Linked DNA regions of Tamandua tetradactyla. The protein of the gene in region 1 purifies or fractionates together with the protein of each later gene. This does not show direct contact. Links are inferred from orthologs where the notes say so. Each region holds a gene or a part of one and is shown on either strand. Other genes may lie near its edges. The genes, in order: CASP8, BIRC2, tumor necrosis factor receptor superfamily member 10B-like and NOL3.

Region 1 (7,890 bases):
GTTTCTGTTATTGGGCAAGTTTCTTTGGTTGCTTAAAAATATATGCTTTACTAAAAGACTGAATTTATGTTAATACATATTTCCTGGGTTGATTTTTATACAATCAGAATATAAAGTTTCATTGTAATTTTGTCCTTAGCATTAGCACAGTGCCTAGTATATAGTTGGTGCTCAACAAATATTTGTGGAATGAAAAAGTGATTCAAACTATTCTTGGGTTTTTACTAGACATATCATAGGGATTTAATCTGGAAGAAATAACAAGACTTTAGCATTTAATATCTGACCCAGTTTGAATTTTGCATATGGGACTGAGATGAGGAATCCCATATGTAAGAGAAGATCTTCCTGAATCTTCTGTTCCACAATGGCCATGCCATGTTGAGATTGCGTGGTGTTGTTTCATCAGGGATCAGATGAGTTCGCACCGCAAATGTTTGAAGACTGTGACTCCTGATTTTTAGTAGAAGAATAACAAGTGTCCATATGTGCTAGTTTGGGTGATAATATTAAGAATACCCTCAAAATTTATGGTTTCAAAATGAACCATTATGCCATGAACAAACAAAAATGCCAGGGGCTTGTAAACCTAAATAAAACACAATGACTACCTGCTCACAGGTGTTTAAACACTTTGGCCTTCAAGATAGGAACAAGATGGTCATAAAAATCTGTCTTCACTTTAAACATTTTTAATTAAAACTTTTTATTACCAGAAGGAATATACATTAACAGAAGAATATTAGAAAATAAAGATAGGAAGAACTAAGTTTTGGCTATGTCTACTAAATTTATAATATACTTATTTTACAAGTCAAGAATATGTTTAGATGTAAGATTTGTGGAATAGATTACAAAATATAGGTAGTGTGTAAATATTAAAATAAAGATAATTTAAGAAGGCAAAACACAGACAAAAATTAACTGTGATTTCATGGTCCCGAGACGATCATTGTTAACATTTTGCTGTTTAATATTTTCTTCCAGAAAGTCTTCTATGACTGCTTCTATTTGGTGTGAAAGGCCTGGTGAAGGTGGGACATTAGGAAGGAACAAAAGACACCTACCAGACAGACCCAAAATGGGGGCAGCTCCAGGGAGAGGTGGTCTGCGAGGAGCACTGGGTCCAGGCATCTCCTTTTGGACCCAACTTCCCTGTAAGGAGATGTCCACGTACCTGAGGAAAAGAATTCCAAGTCGTGATACTGTCACGGTTTCCTCTCACCAAATGAGACCATGAGGATAATGGGAATGAACTGGAAAAACGAGTCAAGGACTAAACAGAGAAATTCGTGGTTGACCTGGAGAATGAGTGGCACCACGTGTCTGAGAACCTATAAGAATCCTTACAGGGACTTGTAGGAAAGTTAGTGAGAGATGGAGGCCACGACATTGCCCTGAAGGGGAAATAAGAAATGGATATTAAAACTCAAAGAGAGGGGTGCACAGTGGTAGAATGTTCGCCTTCCATGTGGGAGACCTGGGTTCGATTCCCCGACCATGCACCCCCCCAAAACAAACAAATAAACAAACAAACAAACCTGAGGAGAGGTCTAGACACCACAAGAGAGGTAGCTCAGAGCCTGGGAATATGGCTGGAGAGTGGAAAGGTGCAGGGAAGGCTTCTAGAAAACCAAGGTGATAGACTAAGAGGTGCAAAAAAAAAAAAAAGAACTAGTGTTTATTCATTGGGCTGAACTTCCCTGGCCACTAACAGAAAGTGCCTTTATTTTTCTCGCATCACCACTTTCCATAATGATTTCACAAATCTTCTGTGATAGCCCCGACTAGACATCAGGCAGATCACAGCTTTCAGCCGTCCTTTGTTTATAAGAAGGATGCTATTTAGATAATTATACCTCATCTTCAGTCATTAACAATTTGCTTCAGGCATTTTAAAACATCTGTCTTACCTACAAGTCAAACTCCTCATCCCTAGTTGAGGGATGACTCCCAGCCAGGGGTCCTGCAGTCAAGGAGATTTTTTTCTCTTTGTCTTTTCATCCTGCATTCACTCTGGCTCCCTCAGAGCTGGGCCATGAGAAGGAGAGGTAAAGACCAAAAGACTTTCTGCTCAGCTTTGGATCTCTTTGGCACTTCCAAGGGGCAACTCAAGCACACTTAACGTGTTGCTGCCAACAGAATTTGAGAGTCAAAACAGAATTCTAACCCATCACACCTGAGCTCCTAGGCTTTCGGATGAACCCACAGTTTTAGGGCTCTGGCAGGCAGCTCTCCTGGGCAAGGTCCCATCAAGATGATTTGTGCCAGATCTGGATGATTCTCAGCAAGTCAAGTCACGCATGAGGTGACTCATTCAGAAACCAGAAGTGGAATCTCAGTTTTGTAAGCTACAAAGGAATGTTAATTTTATAACCTAACTTCTTTGATATTTATTTATTTTAGGACATTTTATTTTCATTTCATGAAACTATAAACATGTCCTAGGCACTAATCAATGTTTACTTAGTAATGCATGAACTGTTAGAGACATCTTTAAGACTTTTTTTTGAATATCTATTATAATATCTATTTGGCTTAGGCTTCTGAATAGCTTTCAGTGGAGAAAAAGTGATTCTTGGTGCTTGTCCTTAGGGTTTGAGGTACCCCATTTCTTAGGTATGGGAATGTAGTGAAGCAAAAACAGGGAGGATATTCACCATCTCCATATTGAGACCATCAAGAAAATACTGGAAAAGCTACAACGGTAACATGATTATTGTGATCATAACCTAACAATGATCTCAGTTTCCTCCTTTCTTGATCAGTGGTATGGGCTCTTGTAGGAAAGTAGAGATGTGAGTGTTGGCTATCAAAAGTTGCAGAGTTTATATTTGAGATCAGTGATTGTAAACTTCTTTATATCCCTACGATTGTCTAATCATTTCAACAAACAAAGCCCTTAAAATTATAGCTGATATAAACTTTGTTTTATACATGTTTGAGACACTCCCTCCAAACAGTTTTTTTTCTTTTCTTCTGCATGGGCAGGTACCAGGAATTGAGCCCGGGTCTCCGGCATGACAGGTGAGAACTCTGCCTCCTGAGCTACTGTGGCCTGCTCCCTCCAATTAGTTTTATACAAGCAAGTTCAGACACTACAGAGCCAGGATGTTTGCTAACGGGAGTGTCTTTGGAGACGGCCAGCCAGTTCAGATACCACAGAGGTAGGATGCTTGCCAGTGGATTTTTCTGTAGCTAGCTTCAATTGTTTCTTTTCTGGGAGACTTGCCATTGCTATAGCTGCGGAAATGTCCTGGGCACTCAAGGGATCGTGGGTATGTCAAACTGGAATTAATTCATTGGATTCCCAGTTGACTCAGTCCTCCTTTGGATAATATGGGAGCTCAAGCAAGTCAAGATGGTTAGTGTAGTCATTAGCCATTCTGTTTTTGCACTCTTTTCCCTTCCCTCACCACTCTTTGGAGGAATAGTCTAGGGCAGGAGGCAGGGCCAATGGCAGGAGGCCAGAGTGTGAAACAGGGGAAAGCACCCGCCTGGCCCTTAGTTTGGCTATATACAGCTTAAGAAAGCAAGACGAATATTGGGGTTTTTGTTTCATTGTCAGCATTTATTTTATTTTATTATTTTTTAAAACTTAAAAATTAAATAGAATAATGGTTACTAAAGACATATTCTTTATACCTAAAAATAAAATAAATATAGACTATGGGTAGATTTAAATAATTCATATAGTACTGTGGGTGGATCTTCACTTGGATACTATGCTACATGAAAAGTTTAAACTCGGCCATTTTGAATGAAGCTTCCCAGTTGGGCCTTCTGAATAGTCAACTATAAGGCAGAAGTTAAGAATCTGAAGTAGCAACAGTTCGGTAGTGTCGGAGTTTTCAGATGTTTCCAATTCTATGCACACATCTACTTGGATGACATTATTCTAAAGCATTTTGTACAGATCTTTCATTACATGTTTATTTCCTCGTTATTGTTAGAAATGGTCTGTTTTTTCCTAGGCAGTGGCAGTCAACTTCCCCCTCAGTTGTCTGTTTTCCACTGTTGTCTGGTATTCTTCATGGCTTATCTCCACAGGAGGAAAAATTTTTAACAGACCCAAAAGTTAAGATTTTATTCACAAATCTTCTTTGTTGTACAGAAAGTAAAAGTGCTATTACACACTCAGTGTAACCAGTGTAACTGGTTAGGAATCCCCTGCGCAGCTAGCCATGCTACAGCAAAGGCTCACATGAAAACCTCACAACGCTTACAATTTTATTGGGGTGAGACCCCCTGAGCTTGGCAGTAGATTTCTAAGATGGACTGAGGAAGGGGGAATGCCGTAGGAACTATTCTTAGGCTCTTTGAGTGGACGAGTTTTCTAGGGTTTGTATCACAGCTACCTTTAAAAAAAAAAAAAAAAAACAGCTACCGAATCCAAAAGAGTGGTCCAACCAGTACTGAACAGTTCTTTTTTTGCAGGTTATCTGAAGTCTTAATAGTATTCTCCTTCATCGTCTGTTTCTCTCTACGTCTTTTCACCTTTCCCGCTTCTTCCTCTCTTTGTCTTCATCTTCATCCTCACCCCCTTCGCCTTCATCGACTTCTCCATCGTGTCCAGAATCTCCCTCCTCCCCTCCGCTGACTTCATCTTCATCTTCTCCCCCTTCTCCATCTTCATCCTCTCCATCGTCAAACTCTTCGTCCTCGGCCACACCGTCCACCTGGGCATCCGAGTCGGGGCTCCGGGGCCTCCGGTCGCGGCCGTCGGGGTGGGTCAGCGAGCCGGGCCTGAGGCTCCCGCGCAGCCCTTGGGGCCGGGGACCTCCAGCCACAGGCCCCGGCGCCCCAGACAGCCCCGCTGGGTCAAAGCTCCCAAGGTGCTGACAGCTTCTGACCATTTCCGCTTACGTCCAGACGTGTGAGATTCGGAAGTTTTTCCGCTACCATGTGCAGATCTCCCAAGATTCTCCTGTCACTAAGCTCAAGTTTTTTCAGCTGAGGTAGTTTGAGAAAATTTGAAACTGAAGTCAAGGTTATATTTGCCACGCTGAGGCACTCTAAATTCACAAATTCAGCTGCGAAACCCTCAATTTTCCATCGTTTGATTTGCAATTGTCCAGGACAAGTTCTCGAACCGCCGCCGTGTCCGGTTCCTCGGCTCCAGGTGGATCCTCCTCTTCTGGTCCTTGGCTCCTCTTCCCGGCTCGTCAAACTTAACTTTCCGCCGCGGGGGCGAGGGCAGAGCGGCCGGGCCGGCCCGACGAGGCGCGGCGAGGCGAGGCGAGGCGAGGCGAGGCGCAGGGAGGCTGCAGGCGGCGGCCGGGTCTCGGGCCGAGGGGGGAGAGGCGGAGGGGCGGGGGCGGAGGGAGAGGTGGCCGGGTCAGCCCGGCGAGGCGAGGTGCAGGGAGGCTGCAGGCGGCGGCGCGGTCCCGGGCCCAGGGGGGAGAAGCAGCGGCCGGCGCGGCGAGGCGCAGGGGAAGCTGCTGGCGGCGGAGCCCCCGGGTGCCCGGGACCCGTGGGAGCCGAGAGAAACCCAGGAAGGAAAAGGGGCTGGAGCGCGCGCGGCTGGCACTCCCCACAGTAGAAAACTCATTCACTCCGAATAACAGCTTCTCTTAAAGATCTAATGTTGATGCTCAAGGAAGTACCCGGGACTTAATAGGGGCCCTTTAAGAAAGCTTAACTTTCCTGTGGGGGAAGGGCCTTATAATGCATTCAAAACAAACCAAGGAAAACTAGCACTGGTGATCTTTGCAGTATCTCTGGTGATAATGTTTCGGATGTATCTTTTAAAATGAAATCTCATATCTGAGATTTCTATGTAAGTCTCCTTTGCACTGTCCCCAGATGCTTCCAGCAGCTCGGCCAGTTCTGCCAGGCTCTGCCTGCTGGGAGGCAGTAGTGCACAGGGCTCAACAGGTGCCCTGTGGTGGGAAGCTCCTAGGGTCAGGTCCTTGCCCTGCCTCTCAACAGCTGAGTGACTTTGAACTTCCTTTCCTCATCTGTGCAATATCCCGAATAATTAGCACCCACCTTCTAGCTAAAATAACAATAGTAGTGGATAATTATTGAGAACTCTGCAAGTCCAGGCACTATTCTAATTGCTCAAACTGCATATCTCCCATAGCTCCGCTCATGTGGGAGCTCCAGTGCTCCGCGTTTTAAAATCCTCTACATTAAATTCTGAGATCAATAAGGTTGAGAGTCAGGTTCATGTTTGGCAGACTTCATTCTGTCACTCACTAGCTGAATGAGCTTGGCCAAGGGTTTCAACCTCTCTAAACCTCAGTTTCTTCAGCTATAAAATGGAAATAAAAATATTATGCACCTCTGAGAATTGTTTGGCAGTTGCAAAAGAACTATTTAGGTATGTCTGGCACACAAACAGTTTGATCAATGTTAGCTCCTGTCATTATTAAACCAACTCCTTTTTCTCAGGTGACAGAGAACCAGTAATTTCTGACCTTTTTTCCTACATTACTCTATCTTTACTTAGATTTGTTGCTCCTCCGTCCACATGGTTCTTTTCAAATCCTGTGTTGGGGTGGGTGGGACTGGGGGTAGGGGAGTTTGTTACAGCAGAAAAATCCTTGTCTTTAGCCCAGTAGGACTGAGTTGAATCCAGGTGACTATTTGAGCCTCAGTTTTCCCATCCATAACATGGGAGAGCAATCCTCAGTATTGCTGTAACAATTAGAGATAATTCATGTAAAGGGTGCAACATATATATAGTTATTGTAAGAATATCGGTGTTCTGGTTAAAAATATAAAACATGAAAACAGAAAAGGCAGAAACCCCTTTAAAAATTGAAACAGGAAACAGGCAGAGAGTGGGAGAGTGGAGGTTGAAAAAAGCAGAGGAGGGCCTGGGGTTCAGGGCCCTGGGGGACCCACCTCAGTATTACCATCATTCCCAGCTCTGCTGGTCACTGTTGATCCCAAGGGCCCTGGGGATGGGAACTAAAGGGTTGTTGCCCCTAAGGGTTGGACCAGACCTTCCCTTTATTGTGTAAACTCTCTCCACTTTTCAGCCTGAGGCTGCTTTGATTTAAGATAAAACTGAAGGGGTTGGAGGGGCCTAGTCTGTGGCTTCGGTGCTGAGATTTGGATCAGAGCACAAAGGGAAAAATCCTCCCCTAACCCCTTTCAAGAGAGAAGGGCATTTTACTTGCCACGGGCTCAAGCCTGTCTTTGAAAATTACGGGGGTTATTAATACTAAAAGTTGCCAGTGTCATGCTTTTCAATAGAGCAACTTCCAGCTTCCTGGCTGTTTTGTTGTTGTTGTTTGCAAATTAATAATTGTCTGCCATCTCCCTCTTCTGAATAGTTCGATTGAACATTGAACATTTTGCTTCATGGTGAGTTGTTTCTTTCTGCGGTTTCAAAATAAAGTTTACGCTGTTGTTTTTTCTGTTGAGGAATTCTCTCCCATGCTTGGTGATGATCAGATGCTGTCTTTCTGCTGGAAGATAATGATTTTACAGGTCTCCCTTCGTTTGTCTCCTCTGATTTTTTTTTTTTTTGCCTTTCTTTTTTTTGTTTTTATTTAAGAAAACAAACAATACACTTAGAACCACCAAAAATGGATATCTTAGCGTAACCATAGGCACATTTAAATAAAGTATCCATAAAATCATTGTAAAACCTGTTTGTGCAGGAAGTTTCATAAAGCAATTTAAAATTAAAGCCACAAAGAGCAGATAATTTGTAAAACTTTCTACATGATATTTTGAGAACATTCACAGTTTTGACATTTGAGCAAATGGTATCTAAGTAAGTGTTTAATATGGAGAATTTAAGAACTCTGCTGTCTGAATTTGTAGATTTTTTCCTGATTCTTTTTTAAGCTGTGTTGAGTTCTCTGCCGAGTTCTCCTTGGAAGACTGCCTAACATATAACCAGGAAGTGCGTCCTCTGAGGAAGGCGGGGGT
Region 2 (7,678 bases), on another chromosome or scaffold:
GGTAGTGATAAATATGAACTATGACCATGTGACTAGCTAAAGAAATGAGGACTGTGATTGTATGAATATTTCCTTGTTTTATTATGAATATGTTTGTATTTGTACATAAATATCTTGTTTTCCTCTTATCATATGACAGAAGTTGTATTGTTCATCTTATAGTATTTAAGTCACAGGATATGAAGTTTAGAGTGAATGTTACCTAATGACTTGTACCCTATTTTGGGGAGATGTAGTGCACTTTCGGTTGTTCGCAGGACAGTTGAATATTGTTAGATGAAACATATGTCTGTTCTTGTGTTCATTTGGAAATTAACCTTGTTTCAAAGTGATGTGTTAGCTGCCAAGTTGACAAGGGGAGGAATGTGATGATTAGGTTCTGGTGTCAACTTGGCTAAGTGATGGTATACAGTTGTCCGGTCAGACAAACACTGGCCTGACCATAGCTAAAAGGATATTTCATGGCTGGTTGATAAACCAGAAGGCTAGTATATTAAATCATCAGTCAGTTGACTATATCTGTGGTGATTACATCTATGACCAACTAAGGCAAGTTTCCCATAAGGAGATAATGCAATCAGTTGGGAGGTTTTAAGGAAGAGGAGGGACTCTTTCACTGCTTGTTCAGCCAGCAAGCCCCTTCTGTGGGCTTTGTCCAGACCTTCATTGGAGCAGCCAGCGTCACAGCCCACCCTACAGATTTTGGACTCTTCCATTCCCATGGTTGTGTGAGACACCTTCATAAATCTCATATTTACAGATTTCTCCTGTTGGTTGTCTCTAGAGAACCCTAACACACAGACCAAAAGCTTGAACTTGATAACTATATTTAAGGTGGTTATATAGGCCAACATCTTTGTTCTTAGGAAATGTGCATGGAAGTATTACGTACAACCTACCTTCAAATGTTTAGAAAACTAATAGACATAGATAGAAAGATAAACATAGATCAAGTAGGTAGATAGATAGATAAAGACACAGAGTGATAGACAGAAAAATGTTAAAACTAGTGGATCTGGGTATATAGGTGGTAGGTATGTTGGAGTTTCTGTATGGGTTTTGTGTTATTTTTTCAACTACCTTGCAACTTAGAAATTATTTGGAAATAAAAACTTTAAAAGAATAAAATATACAGTTCACTGAAGGAAATAATTAACATGAAAAGACAAGCCACAGACTTGAAGAAGATATTTACAATATATATAACCAACAAAAGATTTGGATAGAGAATTTTTCTAAAGAACTTCTACAAATGAATATGACAAAAAAAAAAAAAGAAAATGAAATGGGCAAAGGTGGTGAAAAGCAATTTGCAGAACAAAACTAAATGACTAATAAACTTATTTAAGAATGTTCAATCTCACTAGGTATCAGAAACATGCAAATGGAAACAAAATACAAACATTTCAAATATCACATTGGCAAAAATTAAGTCACAATACTAAAAGTGACAAGGATGAAGAATAGTGGCACTACTGATAGGAGAGTAACCACTCCAGAGAGTAATTTGTTAAGATCTAGAAGACTTGAAGAGATGCACGCCATTAGACATGGCAATTCCACATTTAGGTATTGAGAGAAACTCTTCCATATGTGCAAAAGGAAACACAAGAATGATTATTGCAGCATTATGACAAAATATTAGAACAATCTGAATGTCCATTCATTCAGGAGAGTAAGTTGTAACATGCTACTGAAAGATATATGAATGTCTAAAAAAAAAAAACAAATGTTGAACGAATCAGTCTCTTGTTACTATTGAGTTTTTAGGCCTGGGTCTGCTGAATTCAAATGCAGCCTATCAACTTAATGCTTTTCATCACTTTTCCTCAGTTTTGTCTTATTTCTCTAAATATTAACATATGCATCAGACAAACATTACTATGTACTGTTTACTCATGCTTCTTAAGAAAGTTAAACATAAAACCACCATATGATATGACAATTCCACTTCTAGGTGTCTATACCCAAAAGAACTAAAAGTAGGGAATCTATATATTGGAGAGATATTTGTACACCAATGTTCACAGCAGTGTTATTCACAATAGCCAAAAGATGGGAGCAACCTGAATGTCCAGAAGCAGATGAATGGATAAACACAATGTGAAATTATGGTCCTTAAATACCATTTCCCATTAAAGGAACCAGGGCACCTTGGAAAGCTTATCATGGGATGGGATAAAATGTACAAGATGAGCATGGAGAGCAAAGACTACTACTGCTGTATGGAAAGGACTTAAAAGCCAGTATAACTTCTGGCCCATGAACTCCAAAAAAAAAAAAAAAATGAATAAGCTCCTACTAGCATAAGATAAAACAATTTGAAAATAATGATGATAGCTGCAATGAATTACAACTCACCAAATACATTTACATCTCTGAGTTCATGAGATAGCTGTTCACCAGGAATTTTTTTTAATAGTGTAAGGTCATGATTTAATATTATATTCCATTAGAGTAATCATTCAATTCAACATTATTTAGTGACTTGTTGATCCTTTTCTCACTAATATGAACACTATTGTCATCTATCCAATTCCCACATAAATGTGCACATTTTTCTAGCTCTCTGACCTGTACCTTTGTCTATTTGTCCATTTTTGTGCTAATCTAAGATGGTCTTAATTATTATGCTTTATTATATAACTTGGTATCTGGTAGGGCAAGTTTCTTCAACTTCATTCTTCTTCAAAATTGTCTTGGATCCTATACATAAGTTTCTCTACGTAAATGCAATAAATATTATGAATGCAAAAGCAGCAGATTTATACAGCCTATTTTTAAAAATCACTAGCTATTGTACACTGGAAATACGAAAAAAATTAACTGATAAATGGATAAACAGCTAGTAATACTAGATCACAATGTCATACAAGATTAAAAGTTGTATTTATTACACCTGAATGATATTACATACTTTTTTTTAAGGAAAAATATTTATGGCTTTTGAGCTTTGAGATTTAAAATTTCCCCTAAACTGGGCGGGCTGCGGTGGCTCAGCGGGCAAAGTGCTTGCCTGCTATGCCGGAGGACCTCGGTTCGATTCCCGGCCCCAGCCCATGTAACAAAAACGGAGAAACAGAATACAATAAAACAAGAAAATGTTTAAAAATGTTTCCCTTTCTTCCTTCCTTCCTTCCTTCTATCCTTCCTTCCTTCTCTCTGTCTTTCCTTAAAAAAAAAAAAAAAAAAAAAATTTCCCCTAAACTGAGAATATTCATATTTTACTTTTTTTGGTCAGGACAAGAACTAAAAAAAGAGAAATAGACTTGAATTCACAATGAAAAATTCTTGCTATGTATACTTTCTAGATTACATATTTCCCCACAGATAAGAGGAATGTTTCTGAACATCCCAGAAATAATGACTTAGAGCAAATACCCAAATATTAGCAAAAACCATGCGCATTTTGAAAACATTTGGTCACTGAGAGTCATAGCATTTCTTTTTTCCACATCCATGAATGGTTACAAATTCTTTCTTTTTATTGTTAACATTGGGACAGAGACATGTTCTATGAATGGCAGGCAGAAATGACATGTGCAGGAAATGGGAAATGGTTCAGGGTCTTGGAATTCCCCTGCTTACATAATTAAGAGACTTAGTTGTAAGTTTTTGAAATACTTGTCCTTGGAGTTCCCCTGAAAGAAGAAAGCATCTGAATTAATTGACAAACGTCTTGAGATTATAAATTTTTTAAAAATTGGGTCATTGCAATATGACAAATATTTACTGTCTGCCACTGTGTTCCTGGAATTATTAGGGAGCAAGTGAAAAAATGTCCATGCCTAGTAAGACCAAGATTTTGCATTTCGTCTATCACTTAACTATTTACACATTTTATAAAGGGGTTCCGCACCGGTTCGCATACACCATACACACACGTACACACATATACACATGTACATATATGTGTATGCATAAATACCATTTTATTCAAACATTGAGAGAAATTTGGGAGTTAAGATTGGTCTAAAATACTGTTCGCTGCTAGCGATGGGCATCTGAAGGGCACTTTCTCTTTAACGCATATGTCTCCAGAACAGAAAGCCAAAGTTTTAAAAACAAAAGTTACACTCGTCGATTATAAACACATCAAGTGTTCAAAATTAACCTTTTGATGCAGTTCAATTTTCCAACACTTGGCTGGTTTCAATTTACACGGTTACCGGACGAAAAAAAAGACACTAGACTCCATTTCCAAATACAGTCATCTACGAGTGGAGGCGTCAGACTAAGGCAATTTCGCCACTGGCTGGATCATAACTCCTGAGGTGACATGGAAGAAGAGGCACAAAATCACCGGCGCAATGGCGTTGGCGCAGGGTTTCCCGAGACTCAAACGCAACGGAACACGAAAAAGTGCCTCGTCCTCCTCAGAAGGTTGTTAGGGACAGGGAGAGGGAAGCGTTAAAAGTGGCCAAGCCACGAGATGAAAAAGCAAAACACCTAATTAATGTGGATAGTCCCACCTCACGCCGTGGGCTGAGCGCGCAGCTCCAGGTGGACTACCACGCCGGCTTCGCTGTCTCTCTGCGTCTCTCCCTGAAGCTCGGCTAGTCTGAAAACTTCCAGCGCCGCCTGCTCTTCGGCGTCAGGCTTTTTGCAGCAGACCCCTCCGCGGTCGGGAGGCGGTTGACGCGAGCCGGGCGCGCTGACGTCACCGTGCGTTGGCGTAAGCCCTCCAGGGCCCGGGGGGTGGGGGGCGGTTTTAGGAGCGCAGGACGCGAGCCCTGCCTGGTCTGGCTTGGCCTGGCTGCTATCTGCGCTGCAGCTGCCAGAGCCTGAGGAGGCCTCTAAGCAGCCTTGGCGCCGCCGCAGCATCGCTTCCGTCTAGTTGCGCCGGCATCACGGTGAGTGCAACTCTTTGACGGCCCTGGCGGCGCGGGTTCGCGGGAGGCGGCTTGGGGCATTCCGGCTAGCAGGGAGCCACTTCTCTGAAGTGCGGAGGTGCGAGGAAGGCCGAGGCCTGGGGGCTCTTAGCTGAGGGTTGCGGGTCGCAGTGAGCTCTGCTTTCTGCCTTTGACACGGTTTTCATTTAATTCGGAAGCCCTAGCTTCAAGGCATGCAATCGAAAGTGGTTTAAAAAAATTGAGTTGTTTTCACGCAGACTCTGGCCACCGCCCATTTTTTCAGCCCTTGGTGTTTGGCCAAGTTGTTTTCTCTCAGAGGTTTTGCAAGGTTTTAAACTTAGCTTTCGGTATTCCTTAAATTTAAAATATTTAAACGAAGACGGCCCTGTGGTGGCGAGATCTCACATTTCAGAGTTAACAGTTGCTCTCTGCCCTTCTGTAGACAATTGTTTATTGTGAAAAATAACCCCGGAAAATTAATGACTAAATCCCATAGTTTCTCTGTTTTTCCCTTCTGGTCTGCACCCCACACAACCCCCACTCCTGACTGTCTATAGTTTGCATAAAATGGTAAAATCATCAATACAGTGCTCGTCGATAGAAATCTATAATTTAATATGCGATCAGATCTAGTGTAATAAAAGCATTCATGTTAGTGGTCACAATTCCCGAGGCCATTGTTTCACAGGCCATTGTGCTGTTTTGTTTTCTGTGGTTGTGGCTTTGTAATTATAGGAGTTGTAGAGTTTAAGTTTTATATAATGAGCTCCTGATGCATTTTACTCTTACTAGACTAGGCAATTTGCCTAGTCCTGGAGAGACTTGACATTAAAAAATAACATAACTGTCTAATAACTTCTGTGTTCTTGCTGATGGGTATAGTAAAGTCTTTTTTCAACATTATCTGTTTTTTTCACCAACAAACTGTCAGAGATATCCTTAAACTACTAAAAAGTTTTTACCAGAAAAGGTGAGGAGACTTCCCTTTGTGGAAATGTCCGTCTGCGTCAAAGTTGTACATTTTTCAAAGATGTAAGTGCTAATGAGAGGATATTGCATTTATTTAACTTATGAGCTTTTCCAGTTACAACATTTTGGTGACAAATAGCTGGATTCAAGATGTATTGTCTAAAGTATAAATTCTGTGATTCTCTTTTCAATAAAACTAAAATTTTCTAAAATAGCTTTTGTATTTTCTTTTCAGATTTTACAACCTTGAAGAATCTACTTCCCTCAACCCCGCCCCCGGCAATAATAAATCCCATTATGGAAACTCAGACACTATAAAAAGGGATATAGTTTGAGTTTTGTGGAGTATAATTTTGTGTATGAATTATGTTTAAAAACAGAAAGGCTAGTCTGTTGGTAATACAATATTTCTGTTAGCATTTGTCATGATACCGGAAAAGACAAACTGTGACTTTTGATGAATTGATTGGTTATTTACAAAATGAATGATAGAGATGCATGATTCTTAAAGGAAAGATAGATAATTTAGTTTTTACAAAGACAGGAAATGTGAGAAGTTTCTGCTGTTGAAATTTTATGGTTAATTTTTTTTGGCGATATACCTTCAGATAATTTTAGTTGGTAAAGTATAATAAAGTGGTATGCAAAGTTAGTAAGAAATAATAATGATGCTATAGGAAGAGGAATCAAGTATAGAAATATGGAATAATTAACAGTTTGTGAGCTCTACGCAAAATTTATTTCATTTGATATGATACACCATTATAAGCTTAGGTTCAACAAAGCTTGTGAGTGTTGGCTTCCCTAAAAGTTATTAACTGAAGCTTACAAAACCCACTTACGTATTATGGGTTATGCTGTGAATATAAGCTTTGTGAAATTAGTCTTTAGATAATATGGCTATATGAAGACTTCAATTATTTTTGTTTACTAGAATAGAACAAGGTTTTTTTTTAGTACCTTACTTAAGTGCTTATAGGAAAAGAAGCCTGATGCATATCATTTTCCCCTGTCTTTTAGCATAATCAGTAATTGGCCTGATATCCAGGCATTGTAGCTTGTAACCAAAAGTAAATTAAAGGCACAGTTTAAGTGGCTTGGAATTTGGTAACATAAGCCTCTTTTAAAAATCAGGGGGGTTTTAACATATTTTCAGAGGTACATCAATTCTGTCAGGCTATTAAGTTAGTATTACACTAAATTATAGGTAAATAGCACTTGGGTGACCTAAAAAAGTTAACATAATCCCTCAAAATATTAAGGTTGCATCTTGGTACAACCTAGGAGAGATAGTCATTTTGAGTGTGTAATCAGGTGTAAATTCAGTAAAGAAGGTTTAGTGAATTCTAGATAAGTAAGCTATAATTTGTTTCCTTTTTGTGATAAAAATCTAGTCTGAAGAGAAAAATTCATGTGAAGGCTTTTAGCCATCAAAAAGTAAAAGCACCTACTCATGCACAAAACTACCTCCCAAAGACTTGACCCAGGTCCCTCTCATCAAAAATTTGTGAGTAAAATGGAAGATAGCACAATCTTGACAAATTGGACAAATGACAACAAACAAAAAATGAAATACGACTTTTCATGTGAACTCTACCGAATGTCTACATATTCAACTTTCCCCACCGGTGTTCCTATTTCAGAAAGGAGCCTTGCTCGTGCTGGTTTTTATTACACTGGTGTGAATGACAAGGTCAAATGCTTCTGTTGTGGCCTGATGCTGGATAACTGGAAACAAGGAGACAGTGCTATTGAAAAGCATAAACAGCTGTATCCTAGCTGTAGCTTTATTCAGAATCTAGTTTCAGTTACTAGTCTGGAATCCAACTTTAAGAATACTTCTCCAGTGAGAAACA
Region 3 (7,398 bases), about 150 Mb from region 1:
ACTATGACAGTCGGGGATGATGGAACTGATGGTCTTAAACAGTCTTTATTAATCTTATCAATATGCTAAAGATGTGAAGGTAAACAAGAACATGACAAGAATAGAGATGGAAGATACTGAAAAGCCCCAAATGGAACTTCTTAGAGATTAAAAGTACACAGTATATGAAATGAAAAATAAAATGGATGGGATTAACAGCCAATCAGACACCACATAACACCAATGAACGTGAAGACAGAGCAACAGGGATTATTCAAAATGAAACCCAGAGAGAAAACAACTGAGAAAAAAATGAACAGATCTTTCAGTGAGCTCTGAGACAACATGCAGCATTTTAACCTAAGTGTAATTAAGACCCAGGAAGGCTAGAGGGGGCACACACATATCTGAGGAACTAATAGCCAAAAAATTTCCAACGCGGGAATAAACTCTAAATCTATAGGTCCAAGAAATTCATCAAACCCCAAGCAAAAGGAATCATACAGCATTAAATAAACGGATTTTTTTTTTACCCAAGTCAACCCTGACAGTGTGATTTGCCCTCCCACACAAGCTCACACATCCGCCACAGTGGCTCCCAGATCTCAACGTTGAACACATGAAGAAGCTATGGCTGCACCAGGGTCACAAAGTTGGAAAGGGGCAAAGTAGGGCCCAACTGGCTCCAGCCGCCAAGGTCAAGATCTTTTACAGCCTGTCGGAACTTCTAAAGTCAAGAAGTAAGCTCAGTGCTAGGCCTCATCTGATACAATCGTTTTTACAGCCCAAGGACTGTTATCTTCATGTTACAGGCGTGGCTGGGTGGCAGTCAAGCCTCAGCTGACAAAGTTTTCAAGTGCAGAGCTGAGATTCCAATCCTCTGTCACCCTCCCCTGCTAACAGTGTGATGTCTCCTAGCTGATTTGCTTCCAGTCTCAAAACACATATAGGTCCTTGAAAATCTCTAGTAGGATGGAAGAAACAAAAACACAACACTGGGATGCACCATTTTTTACCTCTCAGACTAGTAGAGAATGAAAATTCACTTGTATACACTTGATGACAGTGTACTGGAGAACAATTTGGCAACATCTAAACAAACTTCGAAGATAATTTAACCCGCATACTGAGCAATTATACTTCTAAAGACTTAAACCATTGACAGGAACACGTCAGTACATACAAGGATATCTGCAGTAATGCTGCTGGAATTTGCAAAAATGAAAAGAAAAAAAAGGATATCATCTAAACAGCTATCCATAGGAGAGAACGGTAAAATAAACTGTGCTTCACCCATACTTGCTTACACATGCAATAAAATACTATGCTTTAAAAAAAAAATAAAAAGAGGAAAAGAAATCTGAAGGTATGACATAGAAGAGCAGATGTAATTTTTTCTTGCTTCAGAATTAAGAAAAAATATATAATTGTGCCCGTAAATGCACAGAGAAAGGCAAAACTTATGGGTTGCTGGAGGGGGCTTTGGAATGCCAGAAGGCCTAGGTCTCACATTCCCAAATTCATCAAATTCAGATTTTTTATCTTTGCCACACAGGTTATCCTTCCAATCCAATCTGGAGACAAAATAGACTAAAACTATTCACAAGCTACAGGAAATCTGGGTCTTACCTAATCTAAACTGATAGCTTGAAAACAAAGTCTGTGGTTACATGTGAATACAGAAATGCTATTATTTTTCTAAATTGTTTTTATTTGCTAAATGAAAAAACAATTTCATGATTCTTGTAACCTTGTTTTGGCAATTATTTATTATTATTTTTTAAACTCGATCAATTTCAAATATGTAATTGGCCAGACCTTGGCCAAGTTAACCTAAAAAGATACTCGAAGTTTACACAATTCTTCCCCACGAGTTTCTCAGAACGCTCAGCACTGCATGGCTCAGTCAGATCAACAGCGTCACACCCTGGCTTCCAGAACATGCGATCGCTGGTCGCTTCAAAAGAGTCCCGCACAAGTTTATATCAAGAAATGATTGGAAGAAAGTCGGGCAACTGTTCAACTTCTGAGCGGCCATCTCAGGAAAAAAGAAAGGTGCGGAAGTCGGCGACGAGAAAGTTACTTTCGCTGGCATTAATTTCACCCATTTTGCAACGAGAGTACTCTTTAGAATTTAAAACATTTATCGAAAAAAGAAAGAAAGAAAGAAAAGAGAATCCTTCTGTCGCTCACTTGCAGGGCACCAGACCCCTTCTCGGTTGGCTCAGGACATGACAAACTTCATTGCTCTCGCCCGGTGGGTTTTGAAATCCGCCACTACAGTCGCTCAGCCCGGCGGCTCGGACCCAGTCCCGCCCTCCACTGCGCCGAAGGCCTCGCCCTGCCCGGGCATGCCCCGCCCGGGGCAGCGGGGCGAGACTCCCGCGGGCCGCCGTGCCACCACCGCCCCATTCCCCCACCCCGTGCCCGCCTTCCCGCTCTGGCGGCTAACTCACCGGGAAGACGGCCAGGAAGAGAAGGCTCAGGAGGCCCCAAGGCGAGGAGTCCCGGAGCCGAAGCCTGGCTCCCGATCCGACCCAGGTCCCGACTCGGGCCCCGGAGGCTTGGCGGGCGCTCTGGCCTCGCGGTGCCATGGCCTTCCGCGGCGCCCCTGGTCGCCGGCGGGTCGCGCGCGGGGTTTAAACTCCGGCGATGTCAATCCGTGTACTTCTCTCAGAGAAGAGCGGTAAGCCGTCTGTCCCAGATCGCGGCGGAGTCTATCTGCGGGAATCCCGCCGGATGCAGCGCTTTTTATAGATTGCGCAACGCCAGCGGGGTGACGAGTCAGGTCGCAATTCCAATCAACAGTTTGCCTTGCGGGCCAATCATGCTGGCACCCTCTCTGCGAGCGCTTCCGGGGGAGAAATATGTGGGGATTAAAGCCTAGCCCCGGGGGTGGGGCATCGGTGGAGGGATTCTCCCGCAGAATCTCCCCACCGCGCCGCGGGTGGGGAGGAGCATTCGGCAACTCGCAGGCACCGTAGTCTCGGCGCTGAACCCGAAGGCGCTCAGGCAGGTCCGGATCCAGCCGCATCTGGCTTTCCCGCGCGTAAACCCTGGAATACTGACCTCCCTCCCTCTGCCTCCCGTCCGTGGCCCCCTCACCTCTGTCCCTCCCCTCCATCCGCGGCCGGGCTTCACTGGATCTTGGTTTCACTGAATCCGGAGTCGCTCACCAAGTTGCTCTGTCCTACCGCGGGGTTTCCCGGAGGGGCCTCGACCTCAGCATTTCAACAGCCGGGTGCCAGGCTCCGAGCAAATGCTCCACGAACAGATGTGTGGACGAAACCGAGAACACACGGGATATGACCTGCAGGATCGGACCAAGATTTCTTTGTCTTGACCAACCTGTAGGACTTGGAGCTGTAGGGCTGCACAGTAAAACTAACAGTATTGCAGAAAAGAAAACAGACAACTTCAGATACTAATTTTACCAAGTTATCAAGCGTATTCCCCTTCCCTCTCACACCACATAGCCCACTGATATTTTTCCATTGTCCTTCCCTCGACCATAAAACTGATCACCACCACTCTGTCTTCCTGGGAGCTGAGTTCTATTCTCTCCCCCCTTCCATGGTAGCTATAAAGTCATCTTTGTCTGTTTAAAATTCTGTGGTGCAATTTTCCTTCGAAGGGTTTGGACTGGGTTCACAGAGGCTTCCACACCCTCTCCCCATCACCACTTTCTGCTTTCTAATAAGACCATGTCAGTCTTCTTTCTTTTGCCCTCAAGGTTTTATGCCAATTAAAATGCCATCCCTACCCTACTGCCTCAGCAGCCCCAGGAACCCAAGCCGGCCTTCTTCGGGATTTTCCTTCCCTGTTGGATTCTTTAAAATCTCCGAGAAGCTGAACCTCTGGGGACTATTCCTCACCTGAAACCGAAGGACTTAGAGAGGGATCCTTGGTCTTGAGGTCCTTCCAGCCGTCCCCGCGTACCCACCTCGGTAGCTAACCTGGGACGCGGTGGAGTCCTGTAAACTCAATGCCTCTTAAATCGAGGTCCTGCCTGCCGGGTGCTCACAGAGCGGTTTAAGGCTGGAGATTAGGTGGGAGGGGAAGGCAATCCCAAGGGCGCCTGCAGCTCCAGGCTTCGTCGCAGTTTTACGGGTCGGGGGCCCACGGACTCTACTTGGCTGGCTCTACTAGGCCAGCGCAGCGGAGAGGGCTTCGCCCGCCAACCCCCAGTCCTGGGTCTGACTCACCGACTGTCTGACCGCGCACAACGCCACACGCCTCGCCTCTCAGGTTTCAGCACAGGGGTGGCGTGAGGATGCGCCCCGCTGTGGAGCAGGGAGGGGCGCTGAGCGCTGGGAACCACTCCATCTGTAGGACACCGCTTTTTAGATCTTTGTACTTAATAACACACACACACACACACAAACATACAATTTCCGGGCTCCCCAAAATGTGGTTCAACGAAAAATTCGACGTGAAACACTACGGAAAAGAAGAAGAGTTTTTCAGCTCAACGAAATACGGGGCCAGAATTGTCTCGAGTCTCCGCCAGGACCAATGGACCCCGGGCGCGCCCCCGGCTCCCGGGAGGGGCGCGGCCGGCAAGAAGGCGCTGCGCGGGCCGGGGTTAGAGGGCAGCTCGGGCAGACGACGACGCGGTGGCGGAGGAACACTTTCCTGGTGATTAAGTGGACCCGCGGGAGGGGAATTAGTATCACCCTAGCACGCTTGACCCTCGAGGGCGGAGTTAGGGATGCTCTGCGGGGCGCCTCCACCTGCGCCAGGTAGAGTCGGTGCCCAGCGAGTAGCACGCGCAGTGCATTGTCCGGGGACCCTGCCCTGGGCTATGCGCTGCGGTCCGGAGGAGCTCGCGTGCCCGCCACGGTGAAGAAGACGCACCGTCCGCAACCCCGACGTCTTTCTCGGAGCCCGGGCTCTGGGCTAGAGACTTCGCGCGCATCTTTACAGTCTCCTGGTGACGAACGGGCGCGTGTCAATTTTAAACATAATCAAATTTACCTAGAACTATGAAATTTGGGGGTCCTCATGATTCCCTTATCCGTGCTCCCGAGATAACCTGTTAAACTCTTTCGGGATGTTCCCTCAGAATTCCCTGTATGCATGCAATATGTTTCAGAAAAGAATAGATTTGCACTCTTTGACCTTCTGAACATTGGAGCTTTTTACACTTAAGTTATACCTTGATTATCTTTCCTTTTACGTCCTTGGAAATGGATTCCCCGCTTCTTTTTCTTTCTTTCTTTTCTTTTTTTCCAAATTTTTTTAAATGACAAACCAAAACAACGTACAAACATTCTATACATGGTGTACAATCAATGACTCACAATAGCATCACATAGTTGTATATTCATCACCAGGATCATTTTTTAGAATATTTGCATCACTCTAGAAAAAGAAAAAAGAAAAAAAAAAAAACCTCATACATCACTCCTCCTACTCACTGACCACTAGTATTTCCACCTACCCAATTTATTTTAACCTTTGTTCCCTCTATTTTTTCCTATACTCCTTACCACTCCCTTTCATTGATCACTAGTATTTCAATCTACTCAATTTATTTTAACATTTCCCCCCATTATTCATTTATTTTTAAGACATATTCTTTACTCATCTGGCCATACCATAGATAAAAGGACCATCAGACACAAGGTTTTCACAATCACACAGTCACTTGTGAAAGCTATATCTTGATACCATCATCTTCAAGAAACATGGCCACTGGAACAGAGTTCTACAGTAAACTAAAAAGGGGATAGCTATATAATGCATAAGAATAACCTGCAGGATAACCTCTCAACTCTGTTTGAGACCTCTCAGCCACTGACAAACTTGTCTCATTTCTCTCTTCCCCCTTTCGGTTGAGAAGGTTTTCTCAATTCCTTGATGCTGAGTCCCAGCTCATTCTAGGATTTCTGTCACACGTTGCCAGGGAGGTCCACACCCCTGGATCCCCCTCTTTTTTAACACTTGCACAGAATTTCCTCGGAGCTGGGGGTGAGCTGAGAATTACTGAGAGGCTGGTGTGAAGACTGTATGAGGGGAATTTGGTGGAGAGCTGGTCATTTGGTCGGGGGACTAAAGTTCTCCAATTCCTGGCTCTGTTCCTGCAGGCAGAATGCCTCACGGACCCTTTTCCTGTCCCTGAAAAGTGCCCAGGATGGCCTGCTGCCTGGGAAGGGGCAGGTAAGGATGGACTGGCAGCAGAGTGGCGAGAGGGGCTTCCAGCCCATTGTTCAGCCAGGAGAGATGGCATTCCTAGACTGTTTCACAATCTCAGAATAGATGTAATTTTACAATTCTCTTATGATTCCAGGTACTTCTCCTATCCTGAAGATTATCTTTCCCAACTCAGAATTGTGCAGAAGCCAATACAGGAAGTAGAGAATCTGAATTGAAAACCACACTACCCTAAAGAAACCTTGAATTGCAGAAAAAAAAAGAAATGGTTCAATTTTAGTTTACAAAATGTAAATACTTAGAGAGTAAGATAGGCAGGTTGTCACTTTTTGCCCAGGCATTTAAAAATAAGTATTTGTTAATTAATGACCAACTTACCATGACTTAAAAAGATGATTTTATGAGCAATGAATCATGTTTTCTATCGGGAAGTCTACAGTTTTAGGACTTTAATTACCAGTACATATGAATGGTCTGATAAATTTACTTTTTTTTCCCCTGCAATTTATAAAATTAAGGTTCTCTCTGATAGAATGTTTGAAGTATGGTAAACAGACATCTCTTTCTTCTGTCCTCCCTCCCCTGTTTCCAGGTTCAAAGACATATGTCTAAGTCACCTTTGATTATTCCATATCCATTGTCAGAGCAATGCAGGTGCCAAATACTGTCCATCCCACACCACAGAGCTTCTTTTATTTCCCTTTACCTTTCATTTCATCTGCCAGTATCTGGGCGAGGCCTCCAATATCTGTGGCTGCTGCCACCATTTGCATATTGTTGTCCCTGGTCCCTCCACTCCACTGAACAGTACTCTGGGACACAATCAGCTCCAGGAGAAGGAACTTGCTGTATGACACTCACAGAAAAATGAGAGTTCTGCCATTGGGTGAGTCCATGAGGCTGGGCTTTGAATCTGTCGTGGTTTGAAGCTGTATGTACCCCAGAAAAACATGTTCTTTATTCTAGTCCATTCCTAGTTTATAAACCCATTATAAGTAGGATCTTCTGATGAGGCTGCTTCAGTTAAGATGTGACCCACATTATACAGGATGAGACTCAATCCTCCTACTGGACTCCTTTATAAATAGGTTGAATACAGAGAGACAGAGAAAACCACGGAAGCAAGAAGCTGAAATCAACAAAACTCGGAAGAGAAGGGGAATCAGCAGACGCTGCTGTGTGCCTTGCCATGTGGCAAAGGAGGTAAGAATTGCTGGCAGCCAGTCATCCGGAAGGAAGCACCGCCTTGCTGATGCCTTGATT
Region 4 (7,286 bases), on another chromosome or scaffold:
AGCATTTTCAATGGGCCAGTTCCGGCCAAAACCCTCTCTGAGCTCCCAGTGCAGTGGAAGTCAGACGATTAAAACAGCAATTACAATGAAGTGTTTGGGCTCTGTCTACCCAAGGTCTAATAATCCTGTCTAATACTCGCACTTCCCAAGGCTCTAAGCTCTAGACCCTCCTTAAATGGAGAGAAGTCCCCCTTCCTTTCCTCTCTGCACCAGGCCCAGAGGCTTCCATGAAGGGAGGCTGGAGCCTGCCTACACAGGCCCCTAAATGGCTCAGGAGGGTAAAAGGGCTGTGGAGCGGCAACCAGGGGTCAGTCTTTTGTCCCAGTGCATGCCTGGGGTCTCCAGGGGTGTAGCTTGAGCTACTGAGGGCAGAAATAAAACTGAAGACTGGGTGGCTGGGCCTGGAGGGACATGGAGTGCCCAGGTCACTGGAACTCAAGGCATGGGCTTACCCACCCACCCACCCACCCACCCCACTCCCAATTCCTGGGGAAAGAGCCAGAATCGCGGAGAGCCCAGCCCAGCCGACCGTCTGGGGTTTATTCATTTCCAATCTGCGCCAGACAAAACCTCTGTGGCATCTGTGCAGCCCAGGCTGGGTCTGAGATCCTATCCAGCTTGAGCGGAGAGGGGCCAGTCAGTGCTCCGATTTTCAGGAATCTAGAGGCCATAAAATAAAGGGAGGAAAGTTAAGGAGATGGGGACCCGCCTGCTGCCCCCCAGGCCACTCTGGGTTGGGGCAGCCTTCCTCACACCTTCCGACTCCTCCGCCTCCTCGTAATTCGGCTCCGGCTCCAGTTCAGGCTCTGGCTCCAGTTCAGGCTCTGGTTCTGCCTCCATCTCGGGTTCCGGATCCACTTGGGGTTCCAGCTCCGGCTCAGCCTCTTCGGGGGCTTCGGCTTCCTGCTCTAGCTCGGGGTTCTCGGGGATCCCGGATTGTACCTCCTCGCGGCCCTCAGGACCCCCCACATCGTCGCTGTCTGAAGCTCTAGGCAGCCCGGGCCAAGCAGGTCCCGAGTCGTGTGCCTCAGGCGTCCAGTGGCCCGGGCACCGAGGGTCGTAGCTGCGTTCCCGGTAGCCTGGAAGAGAGGGGGCGCTGTCTTCAGTTTCAATTTACCCGTCCCTGCTTTCCTCCGCCCGCACTCGTCCCTCCTCTCTGGCAAGTGGCTCCCACCAACTCCAATTGGGCTTTTGCTCGGCTCTCCAGGCCCCACCCCGCCCCTGCTCTGCCCAAGGCGCTCACCGGGGCCCACGTGCTGCCAGTCCCAGGCGGGGTCAGGCGCCTGCGCGGTTCGTTGCGCACAGCGCAGGAGCTCCAGGCAGGCCGCCTCGCCCTTTCCCTGCACCACCAGCAGCAGGCGGCGCATCCTGCGTTCAGCATCAGGCAGCGCGTCCAATGCCTCGTACTCGGGCGGGCTGAGCACGCCCCGCGACAGCAGCGCGTCCAGCAGCAGCCCGGAGTCCGCCTGCAGCGTCTCTACCAGGCGTTTCCGCTCGCGGTCGATCGTCTCAGACGGCCGTTCCTGCGTGTTGCCCATTGTCCCGACAGCCTGGCGGAGGGAAAAAGGAGTAGTGGGGCGGTCTTAGTGGGGCAGGGACTTCCCCGCCCCCGTCTTCTCTCCCAGGGCCGCAGTGAACACCCCTGCTGGGGCTGAAGTTCACCTCTACTCCGACCAGACAGCGCTGCAGCACAGGACCTGGAGGCCATCGCGCGGGACTCGTCGTCCTCCTGCTTCGGGGACTCCTTCTTCCCTGTCTCCTCCTCAGGCTCCTGTTCCGGTCCCCTAAACGTCGGCGATAGTCCGCCTCTCCTCTTCTCCCCTAAGCTCTCCCAGGGTGGTATCTACCTTGGGGGTCTTTCCTCCACCTACTTACCAGGCTCTAAGAGGCCTTGTCTAGGAGTCAGGGTTTGGTCCTAGCCCCTGTCCTGTCTGCCAGTTCTTCCTCTCCAGCTCCGTGTCTCAGACCCCTCCTGGCATATCAAAGTGTCAATCTCTCCTCCAGGTCATCAAACAGAAACCAGGATTACCCTCCTGCCCTTCACTCTTCCTTCATGTCCTGTCCGTTACATCCAAGTACTGCTGCTCCAGTCTGAGTTTCCATCAGCTCCCATCAGGGATCCTCATTGTCACCTTATCTTCTATACCAGTCCCTTTAGGCACCTCTCACTCCCATTCCACCACCCCCACAGCACAGTGATTTTGACAGCCCTCTGGAGTAGGATTTATTGTCCCCATTTTACAGATGAGACAAGCTCAGAGAGACCAAGCAGCAGAGCTAGACTCTGATTTGCTCCAGTCTGAACTATAATATAGTCTGTAATGCAGCTCCCTTCCATTCCCCCCCACACCCCCCACCCACCTAGCAGGATGTTAGCCCTAACCACTCCTGTCTCTCACAGCCCCGCTGCCTATCAGAGAGAATCCAGATTATCTGGCCTGGCTGCTCTGACTACTTCCCATACCCTGGTCAGTCAGGTCTGTCCACATTTCCCTCCATCTCTCCCAGCTCTGAGAACTCCCGAAGGCCCTGGTGCTTCTGATCCTTTGCAGATGCTGTACCTAAGCTTGTCCTTCTCCTCCCTCCATTCCATGGCCCCACCCTCTAAGACTCTAATGTTCTGCTGTCTGCCCCAATGCCCGAGTCTCCCAAAGGAAGAATGGTTCCTTTTCCTGCATGCACCAGCGAACAGCATATGCCCTCATCACTGAACTGAGATATGACAGGACCCTCTGTCCTCTTCAGCTGAAAGTTTTCAAAGAAGGCTGCTCCCTTTCACCCCCATCACAGGGTGGGGGCGGGGTGGGGTATGTGGGGAAGAAAGAGGAGGCAGCACCCACCCAGGATAGGCATAGAGGAAGGGGTGCAGATTGCACCTTTTCTCCCTCACTCCTCCCTAGATTGTTTACATGCTAATGTATCCTATTATTCCAGTGAGATAATGTGTCCTATTTGGGAAGCAGAGACCCCGGCTGATCTAGGAACTCCTGAGGCTCTCACTGCTCGTAAGGAAACAACGAGGTTACCTCGCTGCCAATTGGCTGCGGAGCCAGTCCTTAAAGGACCATTGGTCAGATCCTGGAGGTCAGGCGGCCCTAGAAGCAGACAGCCAGCCCCCGACCGACGGCCCCCACTCTAACCTCTCTGCCAGGTCGTGGGAAACTGCGGGAGCCTCTGCACTTTCGCGACCGCAAGGATGCCCTTACCTCCGCGCCACTTCAGGCTCTCGCGGAGGGGCGGGGCGCACACAGACCTCCGAGCGCGGCTGGTGGTGACGGACGCCGATTCTGCCCAAGGTTTCCCTTCCCTCCCCCGGTCCCGTTTGCTCCGGGCGGGCGGCCTCACTCACGGATCGAGCCTCGGCCGGGCAGATGACAGTGCAGAAAGGGCTGGGCCGAGTGGGGGCAGCAGCTGCGGCGGGGGTGGGGCGGCTAGGGCTGCCTGGAATCCCGGGGGTGGAGGGGGCGGGGAGTGGGGGCGTTCTTCCCCGGGCTGGGGGAGCCGGTCCCTCAGAGCCCGCGTGCTGACTGAGGATATTCGCGTAGTTGGTTTTCCCTCCCTGCCCCGTGCATGCCAACAGATGAGTCAATGTGGGGCTGGGGAGAAGGAAGTTCAGCCCGCGCCCACCGGGCCTGGCAATACCTGGGCGCTTTACACCCATCCTCTCGACGCCCCCTCCTCCCTGCCAGTCACAGATGAGGCTCAGAGAAGCGGATCGATTTACCCAGGGTCCTACACAGCGGGTGCACTGCAGAACTGAGTCTGACCCAGAGGCCTTCACTTCCCGGGGGTCGCAGAGGCGGTGCGACAGCCCTGGATCCGGCAGGAGATCCGGGCCTACAAGGGCTAGGGGCGGGAACCCCAAGCACTTCTACTCTCGACAGTGGTTTCCCATTAAAGCCTGGAGGCGTCTGCGAATGCAAAATTGCCCACCACCCACGATCTCTGTGCTCCCTGGTCGGTAGAGAAAAGAGACAGGAAACAGAAAAACAAATGCTGTTTATGTGCAGGGCTCGGCGCGGGGAATGGATAGAAGCCGCTGAGCGGATGGGCTTCGCTCAGCCTCCGCCAGGGGGCGCGAGGAAGCCTTAAAGGGCAAGCTGCCGCGGACCAGCCCCTCTACTTCTCTGGCGTCACAGTGAAAAGGGTCTCAGGGGAGGGACTGGTCCCCGGGCCCACGTAAGAGGCCGGGCTCTCAGGGGTGCTGTAAATGGTCAGAGCCCCAGAAAGGCCAAGAGCTGGGCCTCCCAAAGCCGCCTGGACGTCCAGCAGGAGCGGGGCCCCAAGTGCGGGGTCCTTTCCTAGAAGGAGTGGGGCCATACTTAGGATGGAGAAACGTCTCCCCCTCCTTTCTTCCGGGAAAGATAGACCCGCCTACTCTACCTTCTGTTCACTTAGGATGAAACATCCATTCTCAACCTTCCCATTCTCGGAAGTGGTCAGCTAGAGGGGAGAAGTCTCTGCCTGAACTAAGGGATTTCCCTCCAAAACACATCCTCATCCCATCATGGTAGGTCAGGCCAGTCATGGCCTCCTCACCCCACTCCCAGTTACCCCAACCATTACCTGAACCCAGAGAATTTATCCCCTTGACTGCGAGGTCGGCCTCACTTCTTTCTGGAATCAAGGGCTGCATCTGCACGGAACAGCCTCAAGTAGCATCTGGGAAGGGGAGCTAAGGAGGAGTGCTGGGTGCTGGCAGCAATCCTCTCCAGCCATGGCTTTGGCTCAGATAAAATGACCATGAGCCACAGATCTCCAGCCCCTCCTGCATCTTACCAGGGACAGCTCCATATCCAAGTCCATCAGGGTCCACTCTCGCCCAGGGAGGCTGGGGCCCAGCACCTGAGGGGAGCTCAGAGTTAATGGTATCCTCTACAGGCTGCACAGAGACACTCGGACCCTCCTAGGCCCTAAGTTCTTGCCCGCAAGCCAGAGGGGTACTCACATCCAGGGGCCCTGCAGGGTCCAGACTTTCAGGGGGACCCCCAAGCAGCATTGGAGACAGCAGACCCTCAGGGCTTGGGTCCCCACTCTCCAGGCCCAGAGGCCCCCTGTGCACAAAGAACTTCTGTTGGCCTGCTGGGCCCACCCTGAGAAACCGGGATATATTAGGGTTTACATCCCCCAACATCTAAAAAATGCCAGGAGAGGAACTCCCACAAGTTTTGGGTTGTAAGACTAGGGTCCTAGGAAGTGTCCCTTCCTATGCAAGTGCCATATCAGTAGCACTTAAACTATTATGTACTTTATAGTCACCTGGTGAGTTCACTAAAAATACAGATTTTTGAGCCCTACAACAGAGGTGTTGATTAACCTGAACAGGAGACAGAAAATCTGTACTTTAATAAGCCTTCTATTTCCTAGGGGACTCTGATCCTGGAAAGCAGACTCTGAGAAATCATATCAGGATGATAGGTTCAAAGTACCCAAGCTTCCCACTCAGCCACCAAGAGGCAGGGAAAGCTGGGAAGTTTTGTGGGCTGGTGAGTGCTGGTCAATCTGCAAAAGTGGCCCACAAGGCTCACATTTAAGAATGGGCTCTCTACTCACCTGTCAGGGACCTCCCTGAGGCCCCTTGGTTCAGGCTGCTGGACATTCCTGGACCCCTTGGGGCTGAAGCTCCCTTTCCCTTCCAGGATGGCCTGGACCACAGCCACAGGCAGCGGTGGGGGGGCTGTCACGCAGAAGTCACACTCGTTTGGGGCCAGGGCCAGCCCGGCCTCGCCTTCCCCCCCTGGGCTGGCCGGCTCTTCTTTGAGCAGTGCCAGGCCCTTCTCCCTGCACCAGAGAAAACCTTCAACCAGACCCTGGCACTGCCCTCCCCTCTTCTCCCACAGCCATTCCAGCTGCCAGTCCCTCTCCCAGAGAGCCCAAGGGAACAACCTTTGCTCTCTTACCTCCTGCTGCCACTAGAGGGAGAAAGCCCAGCCCCTTCAGGAGATGGGGATGGGGAATCTTCCAGGATGTCAGAGATGATGGGTCCACTCGCTCTGTGGGGTCTGCTGAGTCCCGAAGTGGTCCCTGGGGGTGGCTGTAAGTAGAAGGCCAGGCCCAGCCCTTGATCTCAGGCCACAGGGAGGGCCAGAATCTGACCAGCACCCACCAGGACCAGGTTTAGGGGGAGGGGGGAGGTCTGGAAGGGGAGACTCAGTCCATGCAGAGGAGTCTGGGTTGGGGGAGGGGTGTGGTCTCTCCATATGAGCAGCCTCTCCATTAGCCCAGCTGTGCCCTTGGGGAGGGGAGAAAAGCGAAACCTACTGACTGGATAAAGTAGGGATCCTGTAGGAGAGTGCTGGGTAGGGGGCAGCTGAACTTGGCAGGCGGAGGGCATGAGCTCCCTTCATCTAGCATCAGAGACCTGTGCAGGGTGGTGGAGACATAGGCAGGGGGAGGGGCAGGCTTAGCCCCCACGCCCCTTAGCCCCCACCTCCCTCCCTTAGGCCCCATCAGCCAAGTCAGCAGAGTTGATGCTTGTTGCCAGGGCATCAGTCACATGCTGGAGATGGAAGGGGCTCCCCTCACCCCCAGAGATGGGGGGAAGGGAGTGAGAGAGCATGGTTTCAGCCCAGACCTCCTGAGGGATGCTTGGGGGAGGAGAGGTGTGGACTTCTGGGTAGGGATCTGAAGAAAAGAACCTGGAGCAGGGGAATCTGGGAGTGGTAGTATCTGGTGGTAAGGTTGGGGAAAGAGGGAAAAGTCCTGAGGGATAAGTAGCCCTGGGGGAGATGGCCACTGGGCAGGCAGCCTGTAGAGTAGAGGGAGAAAAGGGAATTCTTGGTGGTATTTCTGGAGGAGAAATACCATTCTCTGCCCTGCAGAGAGCCTGGTGGGGGTGGGGTGGGATGGGGATGGAGGATTCTAGAAGTGGGGGAACGGGTGTAATCATCTCTGGCTTTCTCACTCACAGCTTTCTCTTAACTCCTGTGCTGTTGGGCCCAGCCTGAAGTGGCCCCAAGAGGCACTGAATCAGCTGAAGAGGAAGCAAAGGGTTAATGCATACACTGGACCCTGCCCCCAGCCTAGTGAGGCACACTCCCAGCAGGTGGCACCAGGAGGGGATTTAACTTGGGACTTGGGGCTGGGGGACTGGGCTAAGTGGGGTGGGCGGGGGCTGGGAGTCGGATAGAGAAGCAGGTAAGGAGAGGAGCAACACCTTTCCAATAATCCGGTGCTGCTGCCCGTGGCTCTGCCGCAGCGTCACCACCTCACGCCACAAGATCTCGTTCTGCCTGGAGGTGGGAGTGGGAGGGTGCTGAGGCATCTGAGGTCTCATCCAGTCTTGC

What was found.
Region 2: the proteins of CASP8 (region 1) and BIRC2 purify together in Homo sapiens (affinity purification with western blotting; 4 studies listed by BioGRID and IntAct, with this or other methods). This does not show direct contact. The link is inferred for Tamandua tetradactyla from reciprocal best matches to the Homo sapiens genes CASP8 and BIRC2.
Region 3: the proteins of CASP8 (region 1) and tumor necrosis factor receptor superfamily member 10B-like purify together in Homo sapiens (affinity purification with western blotting; 14 studies listed by BioGRID and IntAct, counting the BioPlex papers as one, with this or other methods). This does not show direct contact. The link is inferred for Tamandua tetradactyla from reciprocal best matches to the Homo sapiens genes CASP8 and TNFRSF10B.
Region 4: the proteins of CASP8 (region 1) and NOL3 purify together in Homo sapiens (affinity purification with western blotting; 3 studies listed by BioGRID and IntAct, with this or other methods). This does not show direct contact. The link is inferred for Tamandua tetradactyla from reciprocal best matches to the Homo sapiens genes CASP8 and NOL3.

What each region holds. Positions count from the first base shown.
Region 1 is NC_135329.1:175,793,151-175,801,040, forward strand, and holds the start of CASP8 (caspase-8), read left to right. Parts: upstream 1-4,887; 5' UTR 4,888-4,958; exon of another isoform or gene 4,959-5,283; intron 5,284-7,874; exon of another isoform or gene 7,875-7,890. UniProt on the Homo sapiens protein: Thiol protease that plays a key role in programmed cell death by acting as a molecular switch for apoptosis, necroptosis and pyroptosis, and is required to prevent tissue damage during embryonic development and adulthood.
Region 2 is NC_135334.1:40,475,049-40,482,726, reverse strand, and holds the start of BIRC2 (baculoviral IAP repeat-containing protein 2), read left to right. Parts: upstream 1-4,824; 5' UTR 4,825-4,853; exon of another isoform or gene 4,854-5,106; intron 5,107-6,057; 5' UTR 6,058-7,275; coding exon 7,276-7,678. Other genes in the region: uncharacterized protein LOC143644315, read right to left, coding at 4,474-4,824. UniProt on the Homo sapiens protein: Multi-functional protein which regulates not only caspases and apoptosis, but also modulates inflammatory signaling and immunity, mitogenic kinase signaling, and cell proliferation, as well as cell invasion and metastasis.
Region 3 is NC_135329.1:23,968,160-23,975,557, forward strand, and holds the start of tumor necrosis factor receptor superfamily member 10B-like, read right to left. Parts: upstream 3,007-7,398; 5' UTR 2,574-3,006; coding exon 2,436-2,573; intron 1-2,435. UniProt on the Homo sapiens protein: Receptor for the cytotoxic ligand TNFSF10/TRAIL. The adapter molecule FADD recruits caspase-8 to the activated receptor.
Region 4 is NC_135342.1:60,865,134-60,872,419, reverse strand, and holds NOL3 (nucleolar protein 3), read right to left. Parts: upstream 2,591-7,286; 5' UTR 1,663-2,590; intron 1,551-1,662; 5' UTR 1,539-1,550; coding exon 1,244-1,538; intron 1,080-1,243; coding exon 754-1,079; intron 661-753; coding exon 610-660; 3' UTR 510-609; downstream 1-509. Other genes in the region: HSF4 (heat shock factor protein 4), read right to left, coding at 4,120-4,301, 4,567-4,636, 4,780-4,845, 4,949-5,054, 5,554-5,781, 5,901-6,034, 6,262-6,361, 6,909-6,973 and 1 more.